7 linked regions of the Macaca mulatta genome follow. The protein of the gene in region 6 purifies or fractionates together with the protein of the main gene of each other region. This does not show direct contact. Links are inferred from orthologs where the notes say so. Each region holds a gene or a part of one and is shown on either strand. Other genes may lie near its edges.

What was found.
Region 1: the proteins of LARP7 (region 6) and ZC3H8 purify together in Homo sapiens (affinity purification with mass spectrometry; 4 studies listed by BioGRID and IntAct, counting the BioPlex papers as one, with this or other methods). This does not show direct contact. The link is inferred for Macaca mulatta from reciprocal best matches to the Homo sapiens genes LARP7 and ZC3H8.
Region 2: the proteins of LARP7 (region 6) and KPNA3 purify together in Homo sapiens (affinity purification with mass spectrometry; 3 studies listed by BioGRID and IntAct, with this or other methods). This does not show direct contact. The link is inferred for Macaca mulatta from reciprocal best matches to the Homo sapiens genes LARP7 and KPNA3.
Region 3: the proteins of LARP7 (region 6) and RPLP0 purify together in Homo sapiens (affinity purification with mass spectrometry; 3 studies listed by BioGRID and IntAct, with this or other methods). This does not show direct contact. The link is inferred for Macaca mulatta from reciprocal best matches to the Homo sapiens genes LARP7 and RPLP0.
Region 4: the proteins of LARP7 (region 6) and HNRNPR purify together in Homo sapiens (affinity purification with mass spectrometry; 4 studies listed by BioGRID and IntAct, with this or other methods). This does not show direct contact. The link is inferred for Macaca mulatta from reciprocal best matches to the Homo sapiens genes LARP7 and HNRNPR.
Region 5: the proteins of LARP7 (region 6) and H1-2 purify together in Homo sapiens (affinity purification with mass spectrometry; 3 studies listed by BioGRID and IntAct, with this or other methods). This does not show direct contact. The link is inferred for Macaca mulatta from reciprocal best matches to the Homo sapiens genes LARP7 and H1-2.
Region 7: the proteins of LARP7 (region 6) and HP1BP3 purify together in Homo sapiens (affinity purification with mass spectrometry; 3 studies listed by BioGRID and IntAct, with this or other methods). This does not show direct contact. The link is inferred for Macaca mulatta from reciprocal best matches to the Homo sapiens genes LARP7 and HP1BP3.

What each region holds. Positions count from the first base shown.
Region 1 is NC_133418.1:22,389,403-22,393,675, reverse strand, and holds the start of ZC3H8 (zinc finger CCCH domain-containing protein 8), read left to right. Parts: upstream 1-1,473; 5' UTR 1,474-1,581; coding exon 1,582-1,655; intron 1,656-4,273.
Region 2 is NC_133422.1:28,954,097-28,957,596, reverse strand, and holds part of KPNA3 (importin subunit alpha-4), read left to right. Parts: intron 1-1,082; coding exon 1,083-1,168; intron 1,169-2,428; coding exon 2,429-2,515; intron 2,516-2,867; coding exon 2,868-3,037; intron 3,038-3,500. UniProt on the Homo sapiens protein: Functions in nuclear protein import as an adapter protein for nuclear receptor KPNB1. Binds specifically and directly to substrates containing either a simple or bipartite NLS motif.
Region 3 is NC_133416.1:127,495,506-127,499,801, reverse strand, and holds the start of RPLP0 (large ribosomal subunit protein uL10), read left to right. Parts: upstream 1-1,496; 5' UTR 1,497-1,544; coding exon 1,545-1,598; intron 1,599-1,852; exon of another isoform or gene 1,853-2,058; intron 2,059-2,687; exon of another isoform or gene 2,688-3,074; coding exon 3,075-3,250; intron 3,251-3,354; coding exon 3,355-3,442; intron 3,443-3,559; coding exon 3,560-3,706; intron 3,707-3,817; coding exon 3,818-4,003; intron 4,004-4,296.
Region 4 is NC_133406.1:217,691,843-217,695,342, forward strand, and holds part of HNRNPR (heterogeneous nuclear ribonucleoprotein R), read left to right. Parts: intron 1-3,075; coding exon 3,076-3,225; intron 3,226-3,500. UniProt on the Homo sapiens protein: Component of ribonucleosomes, which are complexes of at least 20 other different heterogeneous nuclear ribonucleoproteins (hnRNP). hnRNP play an important role in processing of precursor mRNA in the nucleus.
Region 5 is NC_133409.1:157,051,897-157,055,447, forward strand, and holds H1-2 (histone H1.2), read left to right. Parts: upstream 1-1,335; 5' UTR 1,336-1,377; coding exon 1,378-2,019; 3' UTR 2,020-3,051; downstream 3,052-3,551. UniProt on the Homo sapiens protein: Histone H1 protein binds to linker DNA between nucleosomes forming the macromolecular structure known as the chromatin fiber. Histones H1 are necessary for the condensation of nucleosome chains into higher-order structured fibers.
Region 6 is NC_133410.1:121,861,914-121,866,161, reverse strand, and holds the start of LARP7 (la-related protein 7), read right to left. Parts: upstream 2,801-4,248; 5' UTR 2,697-2,800; intron 2,413-2,696; exon of another isoform or gene 2,334-2,412; intron 1,008-2,333; exon of another isoform or gene 915-1,007; intron 212-914; 5' UTR 117-211; intron 1-116. UniProt on the Homo sapiens protein: RNA-binding protein that specifically binds distinct small nuclear RNA (snRNAs) and regulates their processing and function.
Region 7 is NC_133406.1:220,174,014-220,177,513, forward strand, and holds part of HP1BP3 (heterochromatin protein 1-binding protein 3), read left to right. Parts: intron 1-223; coding exon 224-323; intron 324-3,500. UniProt on the Homo sapiens protein: Component of heterochromatin that maintains heterochromatin integrity during G1/S progression and regulates the duration of G1 phase to critically influence cell proliferative capacity.

The sequences.
Region 1 (4,273 bases), on a different chromosome or scaffold from region 6:
CTAATCGAATTTTCATTTGTGTCTGGTTATCTTTTGCTGTATGCTGGACATTTTATATAAAAAAATGTGTATAGTAACCATTTGAGTTCTATAATAGTGCTTCCTGCTAAAGAGGGAGTAATTCTAGTTTTCATTTCCTTAATTCATTTTTTCCTCTCCATTTTTAGTAATGATTCATGTTCCATAGGTGATTGCCTATAACATAAACAACACGGGAAAGTAGAATTTCCCCAGGGAAGATGTCTGGCTTCATATAGTTCCCTTCACTAATTGGTAGAGGGATCCTGACTCATGCCAAGAATCAGTTCCTTCACTTACAGAAGCAAGTCAGGTTCTCTATCATTGGCCCAAACTAGGGTTTGCGCCTTCCTTTCTACTATTGCCTTAAATGGTATTACACTGAGCAAAACTGAGCAATTCCCCGTTCTGCAACAGCATGCTCTGTTTTCCTGCCTTAATACAATTCTCTCTACTTGGAATGCCCATTTACTCTTAACTTCATCTTTTCCTATGGAAATATCTCAAGACCCAGCCCAAATACTCCCTTCTCAAGAAGCCTTCCCAACTGGATGCAATTTTTTCCCTCTTCTGAATCCTCTTAGTATTTGATACTTTTTAATGGACTTTTCGGTCTTGAGGTTACTTGTGTATTCATTTTAATCCCATTCAATTGTAGAGACCCTACAAGTTACATTACCAGACTACATATCTGCTTATTCATTTCAAAAATGTGGATGGTAATAGAACATCTTTTACAGGGCTGTTGTGAGGATTAAGTTAGCTAACATATGAAACGCTATTTCTAAGGAATAGTAGTGGAGTGCTCAGATCAATGTTAGCTGTTACTACCATCCCTTAGAAATACTGTGATTTTGATGGAACAGTTTTCACCAAGGTGAAAGCAGAATCCTAACAAATCCTTTTAAAAATTCTGGGCTGGGGCCGGTCGGGGTGGCTCACGCCTGTAATCCGAGCACTTTGGAAGGCCGGGGCGGGCGGATCACAAGGTCAAGAAATCGAGACCATCCTGGCCAACATGGTGAAACTCCGTCTCTACTAAAAATATGACCAACATGGCGAAACCCCGTCTCTACTAAAAATACAAAAATTAGCCGGGCGTGGTAGCATGCACCTGTAATTCCAGCTACTCAGGAGGCTGAGGCTGGAGACTTGCTTGAACCCGGGAGGCGGAGGTTGCAGTGAGCCGAGATCATGCCACTGCGCTCCAGCCCGGACGACAGAGCTAGACTCTGTCTCAAAATAGATAAATAAATAAATAATAAATTAAGTAATTTAATTAAATTAAAGTCTACTATCTGAGGTAATAGACGAAAAAGCCTACGGAAGGGCAACAACGGCGGCGCCTGCGCAGAGCCGAGGCGAAGGTGGCAGGGAAGGAGCGGGCTTGCCCAGAGTCGCGGAGGGCGGCTCGGCGCATGTGCGGGGTGGGTGGGGCTGCGCGGGGCGGAGCCTGTGGCCCTGGTGCGGCTCTGGGTCCGTCCTGTCGCGTCCCAGTTGTCACTCTCTCGGGTTGTTACTCTGTAGTTTCCCGGCTCGCGAAAGGGAGGACCTGTCTGGGTCATGGATTTTGAGAATCTTTTCTCAAAACCCCCCAACCCGGCCCTCGGCAAAACGGCCACGGACTCTGACGAAAGGTGATCCCCCATCTTTTCATCCTTTGAATGCAGGGGCTCAGCGGGACTCCGCCTCTTAGTTTCTTCAGGATTGGAGGCCGTCCGGAACCACGTCCGGGCCGCGTCGGGAGAGCCCGTGGGGAGCACGTGGGCCGGCCGGACGCCACCGTCTGACCTATAGAGGTCGTGCAGGGTCCGGGTGGGAGCAGAAGCTGAACACGGGGCTCAGGCGTAGGCCGCCACGGCCGGGGCTGCCGAGAGCCTGGGCGGGGGAGCGGGGTGGAAGCGAGAAGGCTCCGGGATGCGCCCCTTTCTCTGCACAGCAGCGGGTTAGGAGCCCGCTTCTGTGGTCCGGTAGCGTCTGTCTTTACTATTGCTTGGTTCCACGAGACCGTAAACTCCCAGAGGACACTGATTGGACCTTTTTCACTGACACATGCTAGGCTCTTTTCTGTAGAAAGGACGAAATCACAAGTTTATTAAAAGGTAAAGAATAGGGAATACTCTGCCATTAGTCCACCGATTGACATGGAAAGACCCTAAAGACCACAATAAAGCAACAGACATCATTTGGACTTAAAATTTCCATTAGGTTGGAAAAGCAAAGGAGACTTTTGGTCAAATGGCCCTAATTTGTAGATTTCATTTTTGGAGCAGTGCATAGTGCTTACACCCAGATAGATGTTCATTCTTTTTATTCTTTGAATTTGAAATGCTAAAAAGTATCTTTGTTCTTAAACCTACGTCTTTTATTTCCCTCAACTGAGATATATTTCCAATTATGGTTGATTTTACCTCTCGATATTGCTCAGCTGTTCACTCTATCTCAAATTTTAACTGATCATCCAGAGCTTTACCTCGTGCTTTACATGAAATCATTTAATCCTCAAAACAAACTTGAAGATGATGCTGTCTTTGTTTTACAAATGGGAAAATGAGGCACGGAGAGGCTAAATAACCTGCCGAGATTGCACAGTGGAAGTGGAAAAACTATGTCCAGGACCCATGATTTTATCACCAAGCTTCTCATGCAAAATGACTAAAATAAAATAAGGCCTATAAATATTGGAAAGAGACAAAGACTCTAATTACTTGCAGATGATATAATTTACTAAGAAAAATAACTGGAACTAATTGATACGTTGTAAAATACATAAGAATTCATCACCAAAAAAAAAAAAAGATAACAACATGTAAAAATCCCAACAGCAGCTATCAGTTTGAAAGTGTATTGGACGAAAATTCTATTCCCAAAAACTTGACTGCAATACATAAAAGACACTTGGAATTTTGCCAAAATGATGGGTGAAGGATGGTATGGAAGTATGGTGAGCTGTCCATATTATTTGCCCATTTTTCTTCTTTTTGGTCTTTTTCAAATTCTAGGATCTCTTATTTGAGAGTACTTTACTCCCAATTGTCATGCCTATGGCATTATTTTTCAAGGTATAAAGGAATGGGGATGTTGTGGTTTTGTTTTATCCAGTCAAATGAATCAGTCTTTTCTCATATGGTTTCTGGTTTTTTTCCTAGTAATTTGTGATGGGAGTACTTCTCATTCATTCAAAAAATCGTATTCAGCACCTGCTATGGCCTTGGGGATATAGCGGTAAATGAACAAGAGATGAAAATTTCTGTACTAATGAATTTACGTTATTAGGGGGAGGGGGAGACAAACAATACATAAATATATCGTATTTAAATACCCTGAGAAAATGAATGAAGGCTAAGGGGAAAATAAGTACTGTTGGGGTGGTAGGGAGGGGGCAGATTTTTTTATTTTTTTATTTTTATTTATTTATTTATTTTTTGAGACGGAGTCTTGCTCTGTCGCCCAGGCTGGAGTGCAGTGGTGCAATCTTAGCTCGCTGTAAGCTCCACCTTTTGCTTTGGCACCATTCTCCTGCCTCAGCCTCCGGAGTAGCCGGGACCACAGGCGCCTGCCACCACACCCGACTAATTTTTTTGTATTAGTAGAGATGTGGTTTCACTGTGTTAGCCAGGATGGTCTCGATCTCCTGACCTCGTGATCCACCCACCTCCGTCTCCCAAAGTGCTGGGGGATTACAGGCGTGAGCCACCGTGCCCGGCCAGGCGGGTGTAGATATTTTAAGAAGGTAGATAAGGAAAGCCTCACTGATAACGTTGGTAAGTTTTAAAAACCTGTGTAGGGACCTGAAGGAGGTGAGGGGGTTTCATAGTCTAGAGGAGTGGAGAGGAGTCTGTGTAAAGGTCCTCAGGGGAAGTGAGCTTGGTGTGATTGCGTTAGGGGAGCAGAGTGGCCAGAAGGACAGCTGGGGTGGAGTAAGAGGGACTTGGAAGTCTGCGAGGTATTGGGGTAGGGTTATGGGAGCCCAATCATGGAGTAACTGGTAGGTGCCAAAATAAGGACTTTGGCTTTTACTCTGAATGAGACAACAGACCATTGGAGGGTTTTTCAGCAGAGTGACATTTGAAATATTTTAGCAGGGTCATTCTAGTTGTGTTGAGAGTAGAATGTAGGGGTGCCAGAGCAGCTCGGATTGTTGTATTAGTGGCAAGAAGTGGTCAAATGTGGGTATGTTGAAGATAGAACAAACTGGATTTCCTCCGAGATTGGATGGGGATGTAAGAGAGGAATCAAGATTGACTTTAAGGTT
Region 2 (3,500 bases), on a different chromosome or scaffold from region 6:
TTTGCAATGCCCCATCCTTAGCGTATCTGTGGAATACACTCCTCACTCCCATCCTAAAACACACACACACATGCACAAACACCCTGTTATTTGCTTCTTAGTTAGTTTCAGCTCTCTTGATCTAATCCTTATCATTCCTACACATCATGATCCTTCCATGCATGATACCTTTTTTATTTCCAGCTGTCACTGCCTTTCTTTTTAAACGCATCTTTGAGAAGCTAGTTCAGTTGCCACTTTCTTTGTGAGGTCTTCCATCACTATTCAAAAATATAGTGATCTTGTTTTTTCAACAAAATTATACAGCCTTGTAATATCCCTAGTATGTAAAGCAGATGGTGTAATGGAGACAGATGGGGTTCTAGCTTTAAGACCAGCCTAGAGCCTGTGATAGTGGTTAAAGTGAGATGATTAGGGCCTCAACTAGCACTTGATATTAGGGGTGATTATATAAATGTAAGAAATGTTTAAGAGGTAAAATTGACATGATATATTGATTAGATGTGTCTGGAGAGGAAGTCAAAGTCAAGGGAAATAATGACTGGCTGAATGTTATAATACCAGTGGACATAAAGAAGCAGGTTCATAGTGACTGGCTTTGGAGGTCAAAGAGATTTTTAAAGTAGAAATGGCTGCTGTGTGCAGTGGCACTTGCCTATAATCCCAGCACTTTGGGAAGCCAAGGTGGGCAGATCACCTGAAGTCAGGGATTCAGGACCAGCCTGGCCAACATAGTGAAACCCTATCTCTACTAAAAGTACAAAAATGAGCCAGGTGTGATGGTGTGCACCTTAATCCCAGCTACTTGGGAGGCTGAGACGAGAATTGCTTGAACCCCAGAGGCGGAGATTGCAATGAGCCAAGATGTGCCACTGCATCTCCCGCCTGGGTGACAGAGCGAGACTCCATCTCAAAAAAACAAAAACAAAAACAAAAGTAGAGATGGCTAGCAGGCAGTTGGATTATAACAAGGTGAAATTCAAGGACAAGGCAAAGGATAGCCATATCATATCAGTCTTAAGAGTCATGAATTTAAGTGGTAGTTAGTGTCTAAAAAGATGTTTTACTGTTTTTTTTTACAGTCCTTCATTACAGTTTGAAGCTGCTTGGGCATTAACTAACATAGCATCAGGAACTTCTGCACAGACTCAAGCTGTTGTGCAGTCTAGTAAGTAAATTCCTTATTGTCTGAACTTTTTATTTTTTAATGATGGCAAGGAAGTAGAATTTTGTAATAAATTTTATCTTGTAATATTTTTTAAATGATGACTTTTATAAGTTACTTTTGATGACCAATATCTTTTTCATAGCCATTATTAATCTATCATGAAAAAATTTTAATTGTGGTTACTAAAAGAAGAGTAGAGTTTTATCTTTTGGAGTAGACATCATGCTGTGATAACAGGATTTTAAATTTCCATTTCTGATATCTTCAGGATGCTGAATGGCTTCTGCCTTTTAGCTTATGACATTTTAAATTTTACTTTCCTCAAGGTGTGCTAATAATTATTGTTAAATGAAACTGACACAAGCTCTTTAGAAAAGTACTAGATATCACCACGTATGTTGTTTCTTATAGTATGGGACACTTAGCTAACTTTAGGTGTGGTAATCAAGGTGATTTTAAGTAGCATGTGATATGGCACTAAGTTACATTGAATCATGTATTGAGAATACCATTCTCACCAGACCCACAGATGGCTCATGCCTCTACTCCCAGCACTTTGGGAAGCTAAGGCAAGCAGATCACTTCAGTTCAGGAGTTCAAGAACAGCCTAGGTGACATGGCAAAATCGTGTCTCTACAAAATATTAAAAAATTAGCTTTGCATGGTGGCGCGTGTGCCTATAGCCCCAGCTATTCAGGAGACAGAGGCGAGAGGTTCGCTTGAGCCCAGGAGGCAGAGGTTTCTGTGAGCCGAGATTGCACACTGCATTCCAGCCTAGGCGACAGAGTGAGACCCTGTCTCAAAAACAAACAAAGGCCGGGCGCCATGGCTCACCCCTGTAATCCCAGCACTTTGGGAGGCCAAGGCGGGTGGATCACGAGGTTAGGAGATCGAGACCATCCTTGCTAACACGGTGAAACCCTGTCTCTACTAAAACTACAAAAACAAAATTAGCCGGGCGTGGTGTCGGGCGCCTGTAGTCCCAGCTGCTTGGGAGGCTGAGGCGGCAGAATGACGTGAACCCAGGAGTAATACACAGATACAGCAAAAAAAAAAAAAAACTACTTAAATATTACTAGGGGAAAATACTGAAATTGATTATTTTTAGGGTAAAGATATTTGCCACATTTGTTCTTCCAGCAAACTATAATTGGGCAGCTACAATATGCCGGGCTCTGTATTTGATCAATTTCTTTGAGCTGAAATCTGTAAACTCTTCAACATGTTGCTAGTATAAATATTAGTTTTTCTTTATAACAGATGCAGTACCTCTTTTTCTGAGACTTCTTCATTCACCACATCAGAATGTTTGTGAACAAGCAGTATGGGCTTTGGGAAACATTATAGGTAAGTGGTTTGAAAGGAATCCTGTTAAGAATCTAAATTAACTTTTTTCCTACATTGGCATAGCCATTACATACTATGTTTCCTCTGAATTTAATGTGGGTTGACTCTCTTCTTGCTTCATAAGTACTAACTTAAGATGATACTCTTTGAAAAGGATATACAATTTGCTGTTAGCATTGGTAGGTTAAATTTATGTTCCCCAAATCAAAATCTGGAGAAACAACATTTGATGCCTTTGACTAATGGTGAGGAAACATAGAACGTCAGTGTTCCCACATGAGCCATTGCATACATTTCAGACTTTCTCATCCTGAATGTAAGTTTTTTTTAAATACAATTTTCATTTCTGTAGGTGATGGTCCTCAATGTAGAGATTATGTCATATCACTGGGAGTTGTCAAACCTCTTCTGTCCTTCATCAATCCCTCCATTCCCATCACCTTCCTTCGGAACGTCACATGGGTCATTGTCAATCTCTGCAGGAATAAGGATCCCCCACCGCCTATGGAGACAGTTCAGGAGGTAAATGAAGAATTGTAAAGGCCAGATGGTATATTTTCCCTATGTTTGTACTTCAGGAATTCATTTACAGGGGACAGAATAACACATATACTGATTTCATTGCAGGTGTGAGTTTTTTTTGGGTTTTTTTTTTTGAGACGGAATCTTGCTCTGTTGCCCAGGCTGGAGTGCAGTGGCGTGATCTTGGCTCACGGCAAGCTCCACCTCCCAGGTTCATGCCATTCTCCTGCCTCAGCCTCCTGAGAAGCTGGGACTACAGGTGCCCGCCACCATGCCTGGCTAATTTTTTTGTATTTTTAGTAGAGACGGGGTTTCACCATGTTAGCCAGGATGGTCTCGATCTCCTGACCTCGTGATCCGCCTGCCTCGTCCTCCCAAAGTGCTGGGATTACAGGCGTGAGCCACCACACCCGGTGTGAGATTTTTAAAGTAACATACTGTATTTAGTTACTGACCCCTATGA
Region 3 (4,296 bases), on a different chromosome or scaffold from region 6:
GCAAAACCCCGTCTATATAAAAAGTACAAAAAATTAGCCTGGTATGGTGGTGTGCACCTGTAGTCCTAGCTACTTGGAAGTCTGAGGTGGGAGGATCGCTTCAGCCTGGGAGGTCAAGGCTGCAATGAACTGAGATTGCTCCACTGCACTCTAGCCTGGGCAACGGAGTGGGACTCCTTCTCAAAAAAAGATTTGATGGAGGTGGAAAAAAAAAAAAGATTTGATGGAGGTGAATTACTCTATGGATGTTTGTTGGCTAGTTTTCTAGGAAGAGGGAATGGCCAATGCAAAAGCCCCCAAGTTAAGCCTGCTCTGGAAAAGCAGCAGAGCATCATCGGGTGGAAAGCAAGTAAGTCAGGAGGAAAACATCTGAGATGATCAGAGTGGGCGTGAGGGGCAGATAGGTAGGGCCTTGTAGGTAGTTTAGATTTTAGGTTTTTACTCTGGAGGAAATGGAAAGTTTTGAGCAGATAAGGAGATGAGCTGACTTAGGTTTTTGTTTGTTTGTTTGTTTGTTTTTGAGACGGAGTCTCTGTCACGCAGGCTGGAGTGTAATGGTGCGATCTCAGCTCACTGCAGAGCTCACAGCTCCTGAGTTCAAGCAATTCTCCTGCCTCAGCCTCCTGAGCAGCTGGGATTACAGGCGTGCGCCACCCCCCCGGCTAATTTTTGTATTTTTAGTAGAGACGGGGTTTCGCCATGTTGGTCAGGTTGGTCTCGAACTCCTGACCTCCGATGATCCACCTGCCTCGTCCTTCCCAAGTGCTGGGAATATAGGCGTGAGCCACCGCGCCCGGCCAGATTTTAAAGATCCCTCTGTTTTGGTAGGAGGAAAAACAAACTAGAGAAGACAAGAGATCATTCGGTTTCTAAGCATGTGCAATTACGTCTCAGCTTCATCTCATGCCTTTCAGTTTGCCGAGCTCGCCAGGTGGCAGAGGGAACTGGAGACTCCGAATTCGCAGCTCCAGCTCCAGCCCCGCAGGTGGCAGCAGCTCAGAGCAAGCTCCTCCAACGCGAGGCAGCGCCTTCCTTCACTACCCTACTTTAAGGCGGCTTTCCGTTGGTTCGAGTGGCAGCGACATTATCCAATGGTTGCCTGTGTTCGTTCAGCTTTGTCGGACGGGCGATGGCTCCAGCCAATAGACAGGAGCGCTATCCGCGGTTTCTGATTGGCTATTTTGTTCGCATATAAAACGCACGCACGGGCGCGAGGCCCTTCTCTCGCCAGGCGTCCTCGTGGAAGGTTGGTGCGCTGGCCAGATCGGCGTCTGGGGCGTCAGCGGGAAGCATGGAGGGGTCATTGGGGGATTTTGGGAACGTGGAGTCCTATCCTGTTCCGCCTGGGGCCTCGGTGGCGGCTTGCACGCCCCGAGATGGCGGCGGCTGCCCTAGGCAGAGCCGGCGGGCGCTTGCGCGTGTCTTGCTCCTCGTAGGCCCAGGACCGGGGAATGGGTGTCGGGGTGACCAGGCTTGAGCTCCCTCTCTCTCCTCAGTGACATCGTCTTTAAACCCTGCGTGGCAATCCCTGACGCACCGCCGTGATGCCCAGGGAAGACAGGGCGACCTGGAAGTCCAACTACTTCCTTAAGATCATCGTAAGTGCAGGGTGGGTCGCCTCTGCCCTTCATGTTGCCCCAGCGCAAATAGGGACAGTCAGCTGCCATGTGCTGAGGGTCTATTCAGTACCGGTTACTGAATTAGGCCATTTTCGGGAAAATCCTGTTTAGTTAACAATTTCCTGAGATAGGTCCCTTCTGTTGCAGATAAACAGGCTCAGGCAAGTTAAGTGGCTCCTAAGATGACAGCATTCATATCCAGGTCTGTCTGGCTTCCAAAAGAGCGCACGTTATACCTTTTTTGTTTTTTTTTTTTTAACGGAGTCTCGATGTGTTGTCCAGGCTGGAGTGCAGTGGCTTGATCTTGGCTCACTGTAACCTCCGCCTCCCAGGTTCAAGCGATTCTCCTGCTTCAGCCTCCCAAGTAGCTGGGATGACAGGGGCGCGCCACCACACCCAGCTAATTTTTGTATTTTCAGTAGAGACGGGGATTCACCACGTTGGCCAGGATGGTCTCGATCTCTTGATCCTCATGGTCTGCCCGCCTCGGCCTCCCTAAGTGCTAGGAGTGAGCCACTGCGCCCAGCCGCACATTCTACTTTTACTGTATCTTTGAGAAGGTCTGAGGCCAGTAGTGACTCATTGTAAGGAAGCAAGTTGTTGCATATTTAGGACCTGTCAGTCAAGAAACTTAAGTGTCCAGTGACTTGGATGGCCTTTGAGGTGGGTCTTCCTTGCCCAGAAACGCTGACTGTACTGCGCTTAAGCAATTAGGCAGCATTGTAGAGCATAGCTTGTATTACGTTTTCCCACACTTAAAAGGTTTTCAGACACAAAACTCGAAAGAATTGTACAACAATCAGGATATACACGTCTAGATTCTTTTTACAAGTAATAACGTTGCTTAACGTTGTGCTTTGAATGCTGTGAGTCTAGCCCTCTTGACCAGCTTATTTGGAACATTCCTTTTTTTATCCTGATAACCATTTTAGTGAATCGGAAACCTCCCTCGTAATTGGGAAAAATGAAAAAAAAAAAACTAAGTAAAAAAGGAAAGGCCGGGCGCGGTGGCTCAAGCCTGTAATCCCAGCACTTTGGGAGGCCGAGACGGGCGGATCACGAGGTCAGGAGATCGAGACCATCCTGGCTAACACAGTGAAACCCTGTCTTTACTAAAAAAGACAAAAAAACTAGCCGGGCGAAGTGGCGGGCGCCTGTAGTCCCAGCTGCACTCCAGCCTGGGGGACAGAGCGAGACTCCATCTCCAAAAAAAAAAAAAAAATTAAAGGAAAAACTCCTTGATAGAATGTAGAAACCTGATTTTCAGCATTCATATCCAGCAAACCAGTCATCCAGTTTGGCAGTGTTACAACGTAGCTCCCACTCTCCCTCTGACTTCAAAAGCTTAGAAGAAAGGGAGTGAGAAGGAAACAAATTGTGGGGTTCAGTTTCTCCTGGCATTTTTTTCCCTCTTTCTTCCTGTTAAACTTGGCTCCTCTGACTTGTTTTTTGTAGCAACTATTGGATGATTATCCGAAATGTTTCATCGTGGGAGCGGACAATGTGGGCTCCAAGCAGATGCAGCAGATCCGCATGTCCCTTCGAGGGAAGGCCGTGGTGCTGATGGGCAAGAACACCATGATGCGCAAGGCCATCCGAGGGCACCTGGAAAACAACCCAGCTCTGGAGAAGTCAGTTCCACTGGCAGTTTTGTCCTCCCTCCCCAGTGCCCGTCTCCCTCTTCCTGGAGAATGGTGCTGAAAGGTGATTTTCTCCTGTAAACTTCTCTTTGCAGACTGCTGCCTCATATCCGGGGGAATGTGGGCTTTGTGTTCACCAAGGAGGATCTCACTGAGATCAGGGACATGTTGCTGGCCAATAAGGTAAGGGGACAATTGAGTTGGCTAAAGAGATTTTGTAGTTGCTTCTTAAAGCAAAATGGACCATTCTCAGGTTGTATGAGTGGAGAGGCTTTTCTCACTGTTTGTTGTCTTTGTCAGGTGCCAGCTGCTGCCCGTGCTGGTGCCATTGCTCCATGTGAAGTCACTGTGCCAGCCCAGAACACTGGACTCGGGCCCGAGAAGACCTCCTTTTTCCAGGCTTTAGGTATCACCACTAAAATCTCCAGGGGCACCATTGAAATCCTGGTGAGTGGACCTGGTTTGCCTGTGCTAATCAGGCAAATGGGGGGCTGCTTTTAGTGGCCATGGGTCTGTTGGTTGTCCAGGTGTTTACTGCCCCACTGTTACCTTGTTCAGAGTGATGTGCAGCTGATCAAGACTGGAGACAAAGTGGGAGCCAGCGAAGCCACGCTGCTGAACATGCTCAACATCTCCCCCTTCTCCTTTGGGCTGGTCATCCAGCAGGTGTTTGACAATGGCAGCATCTACAATCCTGAAGTGCTTGACATCACAGAGGAAACTCTGCATTCTCGCTTCCTGGAGGTACATGCTCTCAGCCTTGCCCCCTCTTACACTGATGGTTGAGAGCATGACAGGGGTCAGACTGAGTCCCTGTAACCAAGGACTGTGTTTTCATCTGTCTACCTGCCTCATCTGTAAAATGTCAATAACAACATAAGATTGTTGAAGGATTTAATGAATTAATGGATGTAAAGTCTTAGAACAGTGCTGGGCTGTTATTCTAGGGCCAGGAATAAGACTGTCAAATTTTGCCATCAAAATGCCCTTTAAGAGGCGGAGGTTGTGGTGAGCCGACATGGTGCCACTGCACTCCA
Region 4 (3,500 bases), on a different chromosome or scaffold from region 6:
TGGGTAAACTACTAAACACGGATGTCATCTATTTTATTGAGCCTGGATCAGTCTCTAAAGATCACCACAACTTTGAATCCACCTGTAGTAACTAAATAGCCTGTGTTGCTTTTTCTGTGAAAATATTTTAAAATAGCATTATAGATGTATTACATATTATAAAAGAGGAATAAAATCCCATGAAAACCAAAAGTATAGCTTGTAATTTGCTTACCAGCCACTTCTCACATAACCTTTAGTAGCTGCTCAGACGGAAGTTCATCCTAATCTTTTTTTAGGGTTAGAAAACTTCAAGATTTTATTCTGGTAACTCCGTTTTCGTAAATCTAAAACAGGTTTTGGAATGAAAATGAGGCCTCCATAAACCTAGGATTAAATATTGTAGAGCCCTTTATTGTTTTCTTTTTTTTTTTTAAAGAGATTGGGCCTCATTATGTTGCCTAGGCTGGAGTGCAGTAGCTGCTTACGTGTGTAATCATAGCCCACTGCAGCCTTGAACTCCTGGGCTTAAGCGTTCCTCCTGCTTCAGCCTCCTAGGTAGCTTGGGACTACTGGTGCTTACAACTGCACCCAGCTCCTTTACTGTTTCGTAATTGAAAAGAAAAGTTTATCCATTTGAGTAAAGCTTCTGTTATTCACACTATCAATTTACAATTCACTGAAGATTTTTTTGCCAAGTTGGGTCAGTTTTACAATGTACCAAAACCTAAAAGCCTAAATATATGTCTCTTAAAGGGACCCTTTTTCCTGTTGAACATTTTAAACACAGTTTCAGTAAGTGATTTTGATATAGTATGTTAACAGTTTCATCATAGAAAATTCCATGTTGAATTTTTTTTAAAAGCAACTGAGCCAGTGGGAGTCTGTGTAACATAGAGGCTGGACCTTAGTATGATAAATTGAGAATAATAAAGGGGATGGAGCATTTGTGAAAAATGTTAGTTTTTTTTCCTCTTTAAATTAGTAACTTCTTATTAGATAGTCCTGTATCTGAAGCAACAAGTTGTTCAATATGTTAGTTTTTTATTTGGATAGGTACTATATTTTCTTAGTTTAAAAGTTATATGGAAAAGTATAGACAAAGAAATTTCCTTTCTACCCCTATGCCTATGTCTACCAAATCCCCTTTGTCCCCTATAAGGCATCCAGTTTTAGTAGTTTCTGGTTTATCTTTTTAGTATTTCCTTAGGCAAATATGAATATACTTCCTTAATTCTTACATGAGTGGTAGTAATGTTGGCAGCCTACTATATTCACTGATCTACTTTTTGTTTATTCACCATCCTGTTTCATCAGCTCTGAGAAAATACACTATTATTATATGAACCACTAAGTAGTTATAAAACACTGCCAACTAAACTATGGCACAGTACTTGCTTATCACATTGACTGTAAGTTGTTTCTTTATTTCAGAGATGTAAAAACAGGAAAAACAGTGTACCCTGTCAATCTCTGTTAGCTCATAGAGCTCTTCTTCATTTTTTGGGTTTTTTTTTTTGAGACGGAGCCTTGCTGTGTCACCCAGGCTGGAGTGCAGTGGTACAATCTTGGCTCACTGCAACCTCTGCCTCCCGGGTTCAAGCGATTCTCCTGCCTCAGCTTCCCGAGTAGCTGGGGTTATAGGTGCCTTCTACCACACCTGGCTTATTTTTGTATTTTCAGTAGAGACGGTGTTTCACCATGCTGGCCAGGCTGGTCTCGAACTCCCAACCTCAGGCAATCCGCCCACCTCGGCCTTCCAGAGTGCTGGGATTACAGGCGTGAGCCACTGTGCCCAGCCCTCTTCTTCATTTTTTATGACTACATAGTAGTCTATTCTGTACTATAGTGTATTTAACCAGCTGGATATTGAATTGTTTCTGATCTTTTGCTCTTACAATGCTGGAATGAATAAGTTTATGTTAGTTGATACAAGTGGAGATATATCTGTAGGATAGTTCTTAGGGGTAGAATTGTGGGCCAAAGGGTAAATACATCTGTAATTGTTAAGATACTGCCATATTCCTGTCTGTAGGAGATACACTATTTTACATTCCTACTAGCAAAATACAAGATAATTATTTTCCTCATTCTTGACAAAATAGTGTATGATCAAACTTTTGAACTTTGCCAACCTGATAACAAATGGTCTCAGTGCCATTAATGATTAATGATTTGCGTCTCTTACTATGAATGGTTTGAACTTTAAATATATTTTAAGAGCCATGTGTGTTTCTTTGTATGAACCACATATTCGTGAATTTTGCCTATTTTTCTATTCAGTTGTTGAGCTTTTTCTTATTTTCTGGTTCTCTGATATAAAAGAGAGATTAGCTGTTTGTGATACATGTTGCAAATACCTCATCCATATTTATTGTCTTTGCTTACAGTATTTGTTGCAATATAGAAGTCATTTATTTTTATATATCATTCTTATGGCTCCTAGATTTTAAGTCATAAGGTCATCCCCACTCCAGTGTTACATGAAGGAATCATTCTTGTTCTGATACTTTCACAGTTCTCCCTCCACCCTTTTATTATTTAAATTTTCAATCTATTTGGAGTTTATCCTGGTGTATAGTGTGAGGCATGGACCAGCTTTTCTCCTTTTTTTCTAATTAACACTACCTGATTTAATGATTTAAGCATTATAGTTTGTTTATATTCGGTAGGGCCAGTCTCTAAATTTCACTCTTTTTTTTCCTGGTTATTCTTGTTTGTTTATTTTTTCATATGAACTTTTGAAAGTTATTCAGTTTTAGAGGAAAGAAACAGAAAAACTTGTTTTGAAAGGGACTTGGAGACCATGTTAAATTTGTTGATTAGCAATAATAATTATGTGTTGGTTCTTTGAAGGTTCTATTCAGTGTTAGGTGCTTTAATGACAACATAGGAGAAGGCAAGAACCAATAATTTTTATAAATTGGTGACTGATATCAGTGTCATTTTCCTAGCAATTTCTCGTACTACCTGTAACAACACTTTCAGCGCTTAATGTTTTAGAGGAGAAAAGCCTATGCTATGAAGACAGGAAGAAACACTTTTCAGGTAAAATTAAGTAGCCAATGACAGTTTTGTTTATTTGTTGCTTACTAGGTAAAAGTTTTGTTTGTGAGAAACTTGGCTACTACAGTGACAGAAGAAATATTGGAAAAGTCATTTTCTGAATTTGGAAAACTCGAAAGAGTAAAGAAGTTGAAAGATTATGCATTTGTTCATTTTGAAGACAGAGGAGCAGCTGTTAAGGTAGAAATTTTGAAATTTTGGTTCTTGATATTTGAATTTTGTTTCTGAAACCTGCCAAACACGTAAAGTAATGTTAAAAACTGAAGTAAAATTGACTGTTAGCTTTTGCTGAACTCTTTCTATTTAATCTCTGTTAAGTGGTAATAGTATAACAGATAAGACTCCATATTTCAAAGCCAGATTATTACTGAATTTGTGATCTTAGGCAAGTTATTTTTAATCTCTATTGTTTTGTAAGATTTGATAGCATGATGCCTTGGAAGTATTACAAGGTA
Region 5 (3,551 bases), on a different chromosome or scaffold from region 6:
AAAGGTATGGGCAGACAACTTACTTTGCCTTTAATCTCTAGAAAAAAATAGCAATTACTTGGGGTCGGAGAGTAAAATAAGTAGTGAACCTTAAAGTAGTAAACTTGAGAACAGAATAGTTTCAGAGGGGAAAAGAAGAGGTGATTTTCAGCTCATCAACAAAAGATCTTATAATAAATTACATGTTCTGGTACTTTTCCTATCTTTCTGTGTAAATTTTTGCTATTTAAAAAATAAATTTCAAATATATTGTTCATCTTAAAAGTCAAGAGTTTGTTTTATTAAAGTCAGTTGCTTTATTTGCAATTCAAAGATATATTTGAGTTTCAAACTGGAGATTGTCCTGTACGGTAACTTGTGTAAGGTGTGGTTATTGAAAGTAACCTCTAATTTTCATGGGCTGAAATTCATCTCTAATATTGCAATGTACAAAAATAAATAAATAAATAAATGCTTGTTTTCTTTGAAAACATATTATCTCAGTGCCTCTAACTGCCAAATCTATTGGCTTTCTTTGCAGGCTTAAGGGATCTCCCTTGTTCCTTTATTATCTCTATCTTGAGAGCCAGACCTCCTGCCTTACACAACTCAGAGGGGGACCTCAGAGCTTTTTAAAAAGAGCCCAATTTCTCGCCTGTAGAGAAGTGAAAAGGATGCCCCGCCCCCATCTATGAAAAGAAGGATTTGATGGTTTCAATGTCTTCAAATCAAAGATTTAAGTCTCTAGCCCCCCACCACACCGGACCCTACCAAGGCTCATGAACCCCCTCCCATCCCTCCCTAATTACTTTGGACTGGCCCTGGAATCCTTGTCCCAGTCCACAGTTCCTGTGCGTCTGCAGGAAGAATTCACACAGGACCTGTGTTACTTCCCTTGTGAAGAAACAGAATTATCATGAAAATTTAGGTGGAAACCATTTCGCTTTTTTTTTCAAAAATAAGGGAAGCATGTGCCCAACCACCCCTGGGAAAAAGAACTTTCAGGGGCAAAGGAGCGAACAGGTAATTTATAAGAAAAACAGAAAGTGGTCTCTGACTGCCCCAGACTTCCTTCGGAGTTGGGGGAATTGGGGACGCCTGGACGCGTTGTTTTTGTGGTTGTGGAAAAAATAAATGAAAAGCCTGAAGCCCGAGGCTTCTGAGATCCTTTCCTGACCAAATCCGGGTGATTTGGTGCAGGGAATTTTAATATTTTTCCCCTTTTGTGAGGTGGAACAAACACAACTTGGGAGCAGCGCAGCGACTCAGAGCCTGCCAGCCAGGCGGGCCACCAGAGCACCAATCAGAGCGCTCCTGCGCTCTATATATACAGCGGCCCTGCCCAAGCGCTGTTTCATCGGCGCTTTGCCACTTGTACCCGAGTTGTTGATCCTCAACATGTCCGAGACTGCTCCTGTCGCTCCCGCTGCCGCGCCTCCGGCGGAGAAAGTCCCCGTAAAGAAGAAAACAGCCAAGAAATCTGGGGGGCCGCCTCGTAAGGCATCTGGTCCCCCGGTGTCAGAGCTCATCACCAAGGCGGTGGCAGCCTCTAAAGAGCGCAGCGGGGTTTCTCTTGCTGCTTTGAAAAAAGCGTTGGCTGCCGCCGGCTATGATGTGGAGAAAAACAACAGCCGAATCAAACTTGGTCTCAAGAGTCTGGTGAGCAAGGGCACTCTGGTGCAGACTAAGGGCACCGGTGCTTCTGGTTCCTTCAAACTTAACAAGAAGGCAGCCTCCGGCGAAACCAAGCCCAAGGTTAAGAAGGTGGGCGCAGCCAAGCCTAAGAAGCCGGTTGGGGCAGCTAAGAAGCCTAGGAAGGCGACTGGCGGCGCTACCCCGAAGAAGAGCGCTAAGAAAACACCGAAGAAGGCGAAGAAGCCGGCCGCGGCCACTGTGACCAAGAAAGTGGCCAAGAGCCCAAAGAAGGCCAAGGTTGCGAAGCCCAAGAAAGCTGCCAAAAGTGCTGCTAAGTCCGTGAAGCCCAAGGCCGCCAAGCCCAAGGTTGTCAAGCCTAAGAAGGCGGCACCCAAGAAGAAATAGGTGGACGCCTGCTTCAAAAAACCCAAAAGGCTCTTTTCAGAGCCACCACTGATCTCAATAAAAGAGCTGGATACTTGTTTTTCTTAGTTGCCCTTGTTCCTTTTCTTGCTCGACCCTGCTCCTTAAGGTTAGTCGAACGGGAACCTTATAAGACAAATAAGTAACGGGGGTTCGAGAGTGGCCGTGGTGAGGTTACGGCGCTTAAACCTTTACTGCGACTTCCATGTCCCTGACTGCTGCTTCGAGGCGTTTCCCGCTGGCGGATGTTTTTGGGATGGCAGTCAGCCACGCCCCAGGCCTGTGAAAGGCAGAAAAGATCGCAAAACAAGAGCCAGTTTCTTCGTCTAAAGGGATATCCGGATTGGACTAAAAAATAATTCAAAAGTCCCGCCCTGCTCCTGGGTTGGTCCGTCGTTCTAGTCCATGACTTTAATTCTATATTTAATTGGATGGTGGCAGACGTTGCTTATTCCGTGTGTGTTGCTTCTCTGTGACTTGAAAGTTTTGCCTCTTGATATTAACGTTCGGGATTTCGGACGCTTTCCATGTTGTAGGTAGTCAAGTTGGTATCTCCTGGAGGTAGTGGCAACATCCAGCCCTGGGAGGAGAGTGCGTGCAGGTACCTTTGTCCTACATTCCTCTGCTGTTAATTTCTCATTCCTGTGGTAACAAAGGAATGCATTTGAATAAACAGCGGCAATAGCCCTTCCTCCACCCAAGGCAATCGTGGACCTAGGGAGCTTTTTGTTTCTCATATCATGCATGTAGTGTTCCGCTAAACTGACAGATTTGAGCGTATCGATTTTGAGCGTATCGAAAGCACAACTTTTAGCCAGCCATTTTGTCCTCGCTTGACGGTTACTTATCCTCAGTTTAGGCAGACATCAACATTTAAAAATCGAAGTTCTTTTAAACACATTTTGTTTGGCAGTCCAAGTGTTTCTACGCGGAGAACGATTTGTACTATTAACTAAAGTATATGGATAAATGAGAGACATTTCTAATAAAGGCCTTCGTTAATGGTTCCCTCTATTTGACACCCATGGTGCTTCTGAATACAGAAAACCTAGCGTCTTATATTCGGTTCTTTTAAAATCTGATAGGCACATTTCGGTGAGACCTAAATTATGTGGACCGGGACTTCTGGAGATAAGCTGCTCAGTTATTCTACCATCTCCACAATGATGAATGTAGTGAGTTAATTTCTCTGTTAGTGATAGTGACCACGGATTCATCCCAAGAAAGGGAGAAAGGGGAGGGAGGCAAGCAGAGAGACAGGGAGGCAGAGGCAGGGAAGAAGGAAAAAGCATTCTCCCATGGGTTAAGTAATTTTGTGTTGTTAATTTTACATTACAACACGGTTTACATGGTGAACTCTATTTTGGTGTAAGGTTTAATATATGGACATATTTTCTCCCAAGACCATTTATGAACTTTCATTTCTGCTTCCCCCTTCTTCCTTCCGTGTCACCCTCCACACTCCTATCAATTTTGGCTATTTTTGTCATAGGCTAATAGGCTAAAATTTCATG
Region 6 (4,248 bases):
TGATGCTTCTGTCAAAACTTGCAACATTAGAAATTCCTTAGCACCTTCCCATAACATAATATGCAGTTTAAGAAAACATTGTTTAAAAAAAAAAAAGTCACGACGCAGTGGCTCACGTTTGTAATCCCAGCACTTTGGGAGGCTGAGGCGGTGGATCACGAGGTCAGGAGATGGAGACCATTCTGGTTAACAAGGTGAGATCCCATCTCTACTAAAAATACAAAAAAAAAAAAAAAAAGAAAACAAATTAGCCGGGTGTGGTGGCGGGCGCCTGTAGTCCCAGTTACTCGGGAGGCTGAGGCAGGAGAATGGCGTGAACCCGGGAGGCGGAGCTTGCAGTGAGCCAAGATTGTGCCACTGCACTCCAACCTGGGCAACAGAGCAAGACTCCAAAAAAAAAAAAAAAAGTAACATTTTAGTTGCTTTAAATGCAGAATAAAAGCTACTGGGTAATAATACCAGTAATTTTATATACATTTTTGTAAATCCTCACAATCCCACTAGGTAGCAGTTTCTTCCATCTTCTTAATACAAAAACTCAAAAAAGTTATGTGACTTGGCCCAAGCTAGCTAAGTAAATTATCCCAGGTATGTTTGATCCCACATTGTCTACCTTTTGTTAGAATTTCCTGCAATTTATCACCATGGACTCTATGTTCTGACTCAGGAATTCTTAATCTGAAGTCCATGCAACTTTGTCTGGACAAGAATTCTTGTGGGCTCCGTTAAATTGTAAATAATACATTTTAAAGATAAGGTAAAATTAAGACTCTTGTACAAATATAAAATGGAATACATGGTAAAGATTTAAGCACAGTCATGGGTTGCTTAATGACAAGGACACATTCTGAGAAATGCATATTCAGGTGAGTAAGTACATTGTAGGGTATGTAGTTATTGTATGATGTACTCACCTACAAACCTAGGTAGTATCGCCTACTACACACCTATAATCTTATGGGACCACTGTCATACATGCGGTCTGTCGGTATGTGGTGCTGGACTGTAAATAAAGGAATCAGTTAAGTGTTAAAAACCAGTTCAAAGAAGAATTTAAAAAGCAGGTACGGCCGGGCGCGGTGGCTCAAGCCTGTAATCCCAGCACTTTGGGAGGCCGAGGTGGGCGGATCACAAGGTCAGGAGATCGAGACCATCCCGGTTAACACGGCGAAACCCCGTCTCTACTAAAAAATACAAAAAACTAGCCGGGCGAGGTGGCGGGCGCCTGTAGTCCCAGCTACTCGGGAGGCTGAGGCAGGAGAATGGTGTAAACCCGGGAGGCAGAGCTTGCAGTGAGCTGAGATCCGGCCACTACACTCCAGCCTGGGCGACAGAGCCAGACTCCTTCTTAAAAAAAAAAAAAAAAAAAAAGCACGTACATAGGCAATAAGGAACGTTGAAATAAATATTAATAAATACTGCTCAGAATAATAATTAATTGCATCTTTACTGGACAAACTCATTTCCATGTTGTTGTAGCGGGTTACATGGTTGAAAAATAGTTCAAAGATCACGAAAGACAGATAACCTGGAAGACTGAGTTAGACAGGACACCAAGTCATTTGTGTGTGTTTGCTATTTAAAATTATTTCGTAATTTTTCCTGAGGAAATTATATGCGAAATGTTTGTTTGGAGACGGAGCCTCTCTCTGTCGCCCAGGCTGGAGTGCAGTGGCGCGATCCTGGCTCACTGTAATCTCCACTTCCCGAGTTCAAGATTCTCCCAACCCGGCCTCTTAAGGGACTACAGGCGTGCACCACCACTCCCCGCTAATTTCTGTGTTTTTAGTAGAGACGCGGTTTTGTCACATTGGCCAGGTTGGTCTTGAACCCCTGACCTCAAGTGATCCGCCCGTGTCGGCCTCCCAGAGTGCTGGGATTACAGGCGTGAGCCACGGTGCCCGGCCTCGCAAAATGTTTTAAAAGGTACATACATGTTTTCCTGAGAAGCTAATCCATAACTTTTATTAGGTTTTCAAAAGCGTTTCACAACAGGTTAAGAATCATTGTTCTAGTCACTGCTTACAATTCAAGTCCCTCAACACGTAGTGGCCTGTGTCTTCTGCTTTGTCTGAATCTTCTCGTCTAAATTTCCTTACTAAATTTTCAAGGCCCAGGTTAAATGGCATCTTACTCTTTGAGATGTTCCACCACCCTGTGTCCTCTAATTAACTGCCTCCTCATTTGTTTTCGCTTAAGTTTTTTTGCTAACGCACTCTGCACACCGTATCTAGCACTTGTTAGTTCCCTTCCATAACTGGATTTTTAACTCTTTGAGGACTATGGCAGAGTCCTGCAAAAGAAGATGATAATTTTAGAATATAAATCCTCACGTTCACTATCCTCTGGCAGCCACAAGTCAGCTCCAATCTGCGAAATACTGCACTGTCTTTACTGACTACTGCTTCTCTCGGCACCCGTACTTCCACAAGGACAACGTCATAGGCAGGGCGCGCCCCAAACCTCCCCATGCTGGGCCCCTATGCGCCCCTACTCTCTGAAAACGAGAACTACAAGTACTGCCGGAAGACTTTTGCGCGTGCGCATAGATAACTAGGTCAAGGAATTGATGGATGCGCAGGCGGGAGGCGGGGTAAGAAGGACGACAGATGATAGAGTGGACCGCAAGAAAAAGGACGGAGAGTTAATCAGACGTCGCCCAAGCTGTGCGACCCTATACGCCGCTTGTAACTTACTCCGTTCAACTCCCAAAATACAGGGTCAAGTACTGCGGCCTTCAGCCCTTTCCGTCTCCCGATCCTGATAGTCTTGGTTACTTTCGCGTCATAGGATGAGCGACAACGTTCGCCGGTCCCGCTCGAGAAAGACGGGCCCAAGGCATTGCGCGCGCCACCTACGTCACAGGCGAGGTGGTTCCGGGAGGGCGGGGCATCGGAGAGCGCGGCCGGCTGAGAGCCTCGAAGCCAAGGAAGAATTTGATTGGCGGTTTGAAAACGGCGGTTTTTGGCTTGGGCGGAGGTGGACGGGCCAAGTTTTGGGTCCTCATCTGGTGAGGTCCCGCGTTAATGACGTCACATTCTTTCGCGGGAAAAATTCGAAAGTGGATTTTCTGTAATTTTGACAGGTGAGGTGAAGTGTTTCTCGAGCTTTCCTAGGAATGGCTTGAGCGATTTGGGGCGAAGGGACAAAAGACTCTGCTCCGTAAGAAGAGAACCGGGAAGGATGCTGTTTGGAACCAGGATTAGTAACAGCTACTCGGACTGCTTGTAATAAGGGTTGCCTCTTCACCGCTTTTCCCAGGCCCTGCTTTGCAATTTCGAGTACGTATGAGGACCAAAGGGGACTTTGCTGTTCGTATTTAGGACTGATAAAGGATCGAGTCTCCATTGTCATTTGGTGACACAGGATTATGGTTATTAGAATCTTGGCAAATGATATGTGGGTTTCCTTTGTTTATTTGGACTGGATGGTTTCTTAACAATGTTGAATTCGTGATTCCAAAACTTTGTTATCTGAACTATTTAGAGGTTCAGGGTTAGGTTCAAAAAATCCTCCTTGTCTAAAAACAAAAGGAAAAACATCTTGTAATTAAATGAAAAATGGCTCATACTTTACTGAGAACACCGAGTTTTATGTATATGTATTGTATCTGTACATATCGTAGCACAAGGTATATATATGTGTGTGTATGTACGTATATCTGTATATGTATGTATGTATATAATTATCACAGAACATTTGGGATCTTTAAAAACTTCTTTGGAGATTAATCTTTCACCTGTTAGAAGTCGGTCAGCAGGTGAATTGGCTGGTAGACGTGGACAGATGAACACTTGGAAAAAACTCTTTATCTTTGCATCTCACTTAAATATATGATGCTGGTATCTTAAATAATTTTTTCTGATTAATGCTAAGATAAGAAAGGGTGGCCGGGCGCGGTGGCTCAAGCCTGTAATCCCAGCACTTTGGGAGGCCGAGACGGGCGGATCACTAGGTCAGGAGATCGAGACCATCCTGGCGAACACGGTGAAACCCCGTCTCTACTAAAAAATACAAAAAAAAAAAAAAAAACAACTAGCCGGGCGAGGCGGCGGGCGCCTGTAGTCCTAGCTACTCGGGAGGCTGAGGCAGGAGAATGGCGTAAACCCGGGGGGCGGAGCTTGCAGTGAGCTGAGATCCGGCCACTGCACTCTAGCCCGGGCGACAGAGCCAGACTCCGTCTCAAAAAAAAAAAAAAAAAAGAAAGGGTGTTGACTTTCAGTGAAGAAGTATTAGAGCTCTTGTAGA
Region 7 (3,500 bases), on a different chromosome or scaffold from region 6:
ATGTGTTTCCATTTGAAATTCAAGCTAAAATAACATACTTTTAAAAAGTGTATCTTAAAAATCATATTTCACTTCAAAAAAACTTGTTAAAAGTAATTTGCATCAGATCCTGGAGTCGACTTGAAGAATTCTCCTACATCTTCTGACACCCAGTTAGGCCTTTTGAGAAAGAGATAAAACAATTTTTTAATGCATGTTTGATTATGGCCATCTCTTTTCTTAGAAGGTAGAAGATAGCACCATGCCGATTCGTCGAACTGTGAATTCTACCCGGGAAACTCCTCCCAAAAGCAAGCTTGCTGAAGGGGAGGAAGAAAAGCCAGGTAAAGTAAAATGGTGACACAACTTAAAACATCAAAAGTTATGCTGCAGTTTGGAGTGTCCCATAAATTCCTTTGAACTTAATTATTCTTTTTTTCATGGCTAAGTGTTTTGGGGAAACATTTGGAGAGAGAATCAGTAGCTATTGGTATGTCATTGCCAGACCATGAGGGCAAAGTAAGATTTCATCTTCTCTGTAAAGATTTTTGGAAGGTGAAAATGATATGTTGGAATTAAAAACAGAAAAATGGTTGGGGATGACAGGAATGGCCAAAGAGTAGCATTCTGGACATAAAGTGTCATGGGGATGAATGCAGTGTGGGAGAATGGAAAACGTGGGCCTTTAGGATAGACGTGGAAAGTTCATCCAGAAATCATCTGGAGGCCTTAAGAGAAGCAAATGGTGATCTGTTGATCTGTAACAGGTATCGGTAGAGAAAAGTCAGTGGTGGGAGCTTAACAAATGGAAAGAAATATAAACCCATCAGTATGGAGTGCTGGTGCTCCTTTATGGCGTCTATAACCATCTCTTCTCCTTTTCCCGTCTTTATTTTTCTTCTCATGATCTTTTTGTTTTTTTTCTTTGTCTTTTCCCTTTTTGCCTTTTTCTCTTGCCTTTTATCTCAAGTTTTTCAGGGATGAGCACACTGTGCTGCCTCTGTTGTGGCTGTTAGAATCAATTATTTGCTGACTAGCATGTATTAGGAATAGAGGGCCGGGCACAGTGGCTCACGCCTGTAATCCCAGCACTTTGGGAGGCCAAGGCGGGTAGATCACCTGAGGTCAGGAGTTCGAGACCAGCCTGGCCATCATGGTGAAACCCCGTCTCTACTAAAATTACAAACATTATCTGGGCATGGTGGTGCATGCCTGTAATCCCTGCTACTCAGGAGGCTGAGGCACAAGAATTGCTTGAGCCCAGGAGGCAGAGATTGCAGTGAGCTGAGATCACGCCATTGTATTCCAGCGTGGGCAACAGGGGAAACTGTCTCCAAAAAAAAAAAAAAAGGAATAGAAAATACGTGCATCCTTGTTTCCTGTATCCCTTGGTGCATCAGGACAGACATCAATAATGAGTCAATATACTCTTTTTTCTGGCTGAGCCTGGATTTTTTTCTCTAAATCCTTCGATGAATGCTGTAAGCAATTTGGGCACCCTAGCCTAAGGCAGTTAAGAAACATGAGAATCCGAATATTTGAAAAAGTAAATGGGTGCTGGTGAGTTGAAGATAGGTTATCTTGTCCAGCAGTGGGATAAGCCGCTTGGTGGTCCATCTTAATCCATGTTTAACAGCCAGCTGAAGCCACTAAATCACTAATAACATCAGTTTTCAGAATATGTGCCAGAGGGTTCAGAGGTAAAGTATTAGAAAAGTCAACCAAGAGTTTATGAAGAAACAGTGTCACTTCACAAGTTGTATGTTTGTTTAATCTTCTCTCTATCCCATTTTGTACATAGTATTTTGTACATAGAAATTAGACTTCACTCATTTTAAATTTTATAAACTCTACATTTTACCCAGAAACAGACAGTAGTTCGGTGAGTTGGAAACAGTCATATACAAACTACATATTCAGTATCCGTTGAGTGACTGAACTTTAAGCCATAACTCTTGAGCAGTTACTCTTGAGAAGAGAAAATAATGTAAAATTAAATTTATAAGTCTTATTGCAGTAAAACCCGTGAATGATTCTTAGCTTTTCATCTTTTTTAGAATAAGACAAAGTATAAATAAACATGACTAACTAATAGTAAATTCTTGCCCATGCAGCAATTTAGGTCAAGTTGTTGGTGTGAGGGGCAGTACAAGATATATCATGATGAAAAATACATTTTATTTTGGAAAACCTAAATGCAGTTACTATCTTTATCCCCAGATACCATTGTTACAGTGAAGTTCTGTCCATAATACTTTGTGATCCTAAGCATATGGAAAACAATTTTAGAAGCAGAGAAGGCCAAAGGAGGATGGAAATCACTCGCTTAGTATAAGTGTTAGAATTGTACTTATGCGATTTGGTTTTAAGAAAGAAGTGGCATTTTAAAATTCTCTTTATGTGTAGGCCACAAAGAAGTCCTTGTCATTATTGCAATAAGTAGTTCACATAATTTAAATGATCAAATTCTTCAATCATATACTTTGGTTTGAAGTATATGCTTGCCACTGGAGTCTTTTTTTTTTTTTTTTTTTGAGATGGAGTCTCGCTCTGTCGCCCATGCTGGAGTGCAGTGGCGCGAACTCGGCTCACTGCAAGCTCCGCCTCCCGGGTTCATGCCATTCTCTTGCCTCAGCCTCCTGAGTAGCTGGGACTACAGGCACGTGCCACAGCGCCCGGCTAATTTTTTGTATTTTTTTTTTTTTTTTTTTTTGAGACGGAGTCTCGCTCTGTCGCCCAGGCTGGAGTGCAGTGGCCGCATCTCAGCTCACTGCAAACTCCGCCTCCCGGGTCTACGCCATTCTCCTGCCTCAGCCTCCCGAGTAGCTGGGACTACAGGCGCCCGCCACCTCACCCGGCTGGTTTTTTGTATTTTTTAGTAGAGACGGGGTTTCACCGTATTTAGCCAGGCTGGTCTCGATCTCCTGACCTTGTGATCCGCCCGTCTCGGCCTCCCAAAGTGCTGGGATTACAGGCTTGAGCCACCGCGCCCGGCCATTTTTTGTATTTTTAGTAGAGACGGGATTTCACCGTGGTCTCAATCTCCTGACCTTGTGATCCGCCCGCCTCGGCCTCCCTGGAGTCCTTTTTCTTTTGTGTGTGTGTGATTGTTTGTTTGTTTTTTGTTGTTGTTGTTGTTGTTGTTGTTGTTTTTTGGAGTTCTCTGAAGTCCCTGCATAACCAGTGCCTGGGGTTCTGTGTTTTGTAGTAGCTGCTCAGAGACATGCTGTGAAGGAAAGGCACAAATAACAGCAGACCTCCATGTTCCCCTCTCATATTTCTACTCTTGCTTCAGTCATCCTCTTGGAGAATACATGAGTTTTTTATTACTTATTCTCTGAGATTTGACTGTTGAATTAAAAAATGGCTAATTTCTTAATTATAAGTCTCATGAATATTGCAAAGTAGAATAATTAAATCATTTGGGATGAAATGAGTTTTCCTTTCTGTGTAATTTCCTGGTCTATCTATTTTTCTAATAATAGATAACCACCTGACCAGGCAACTTGAGTGACATAAAG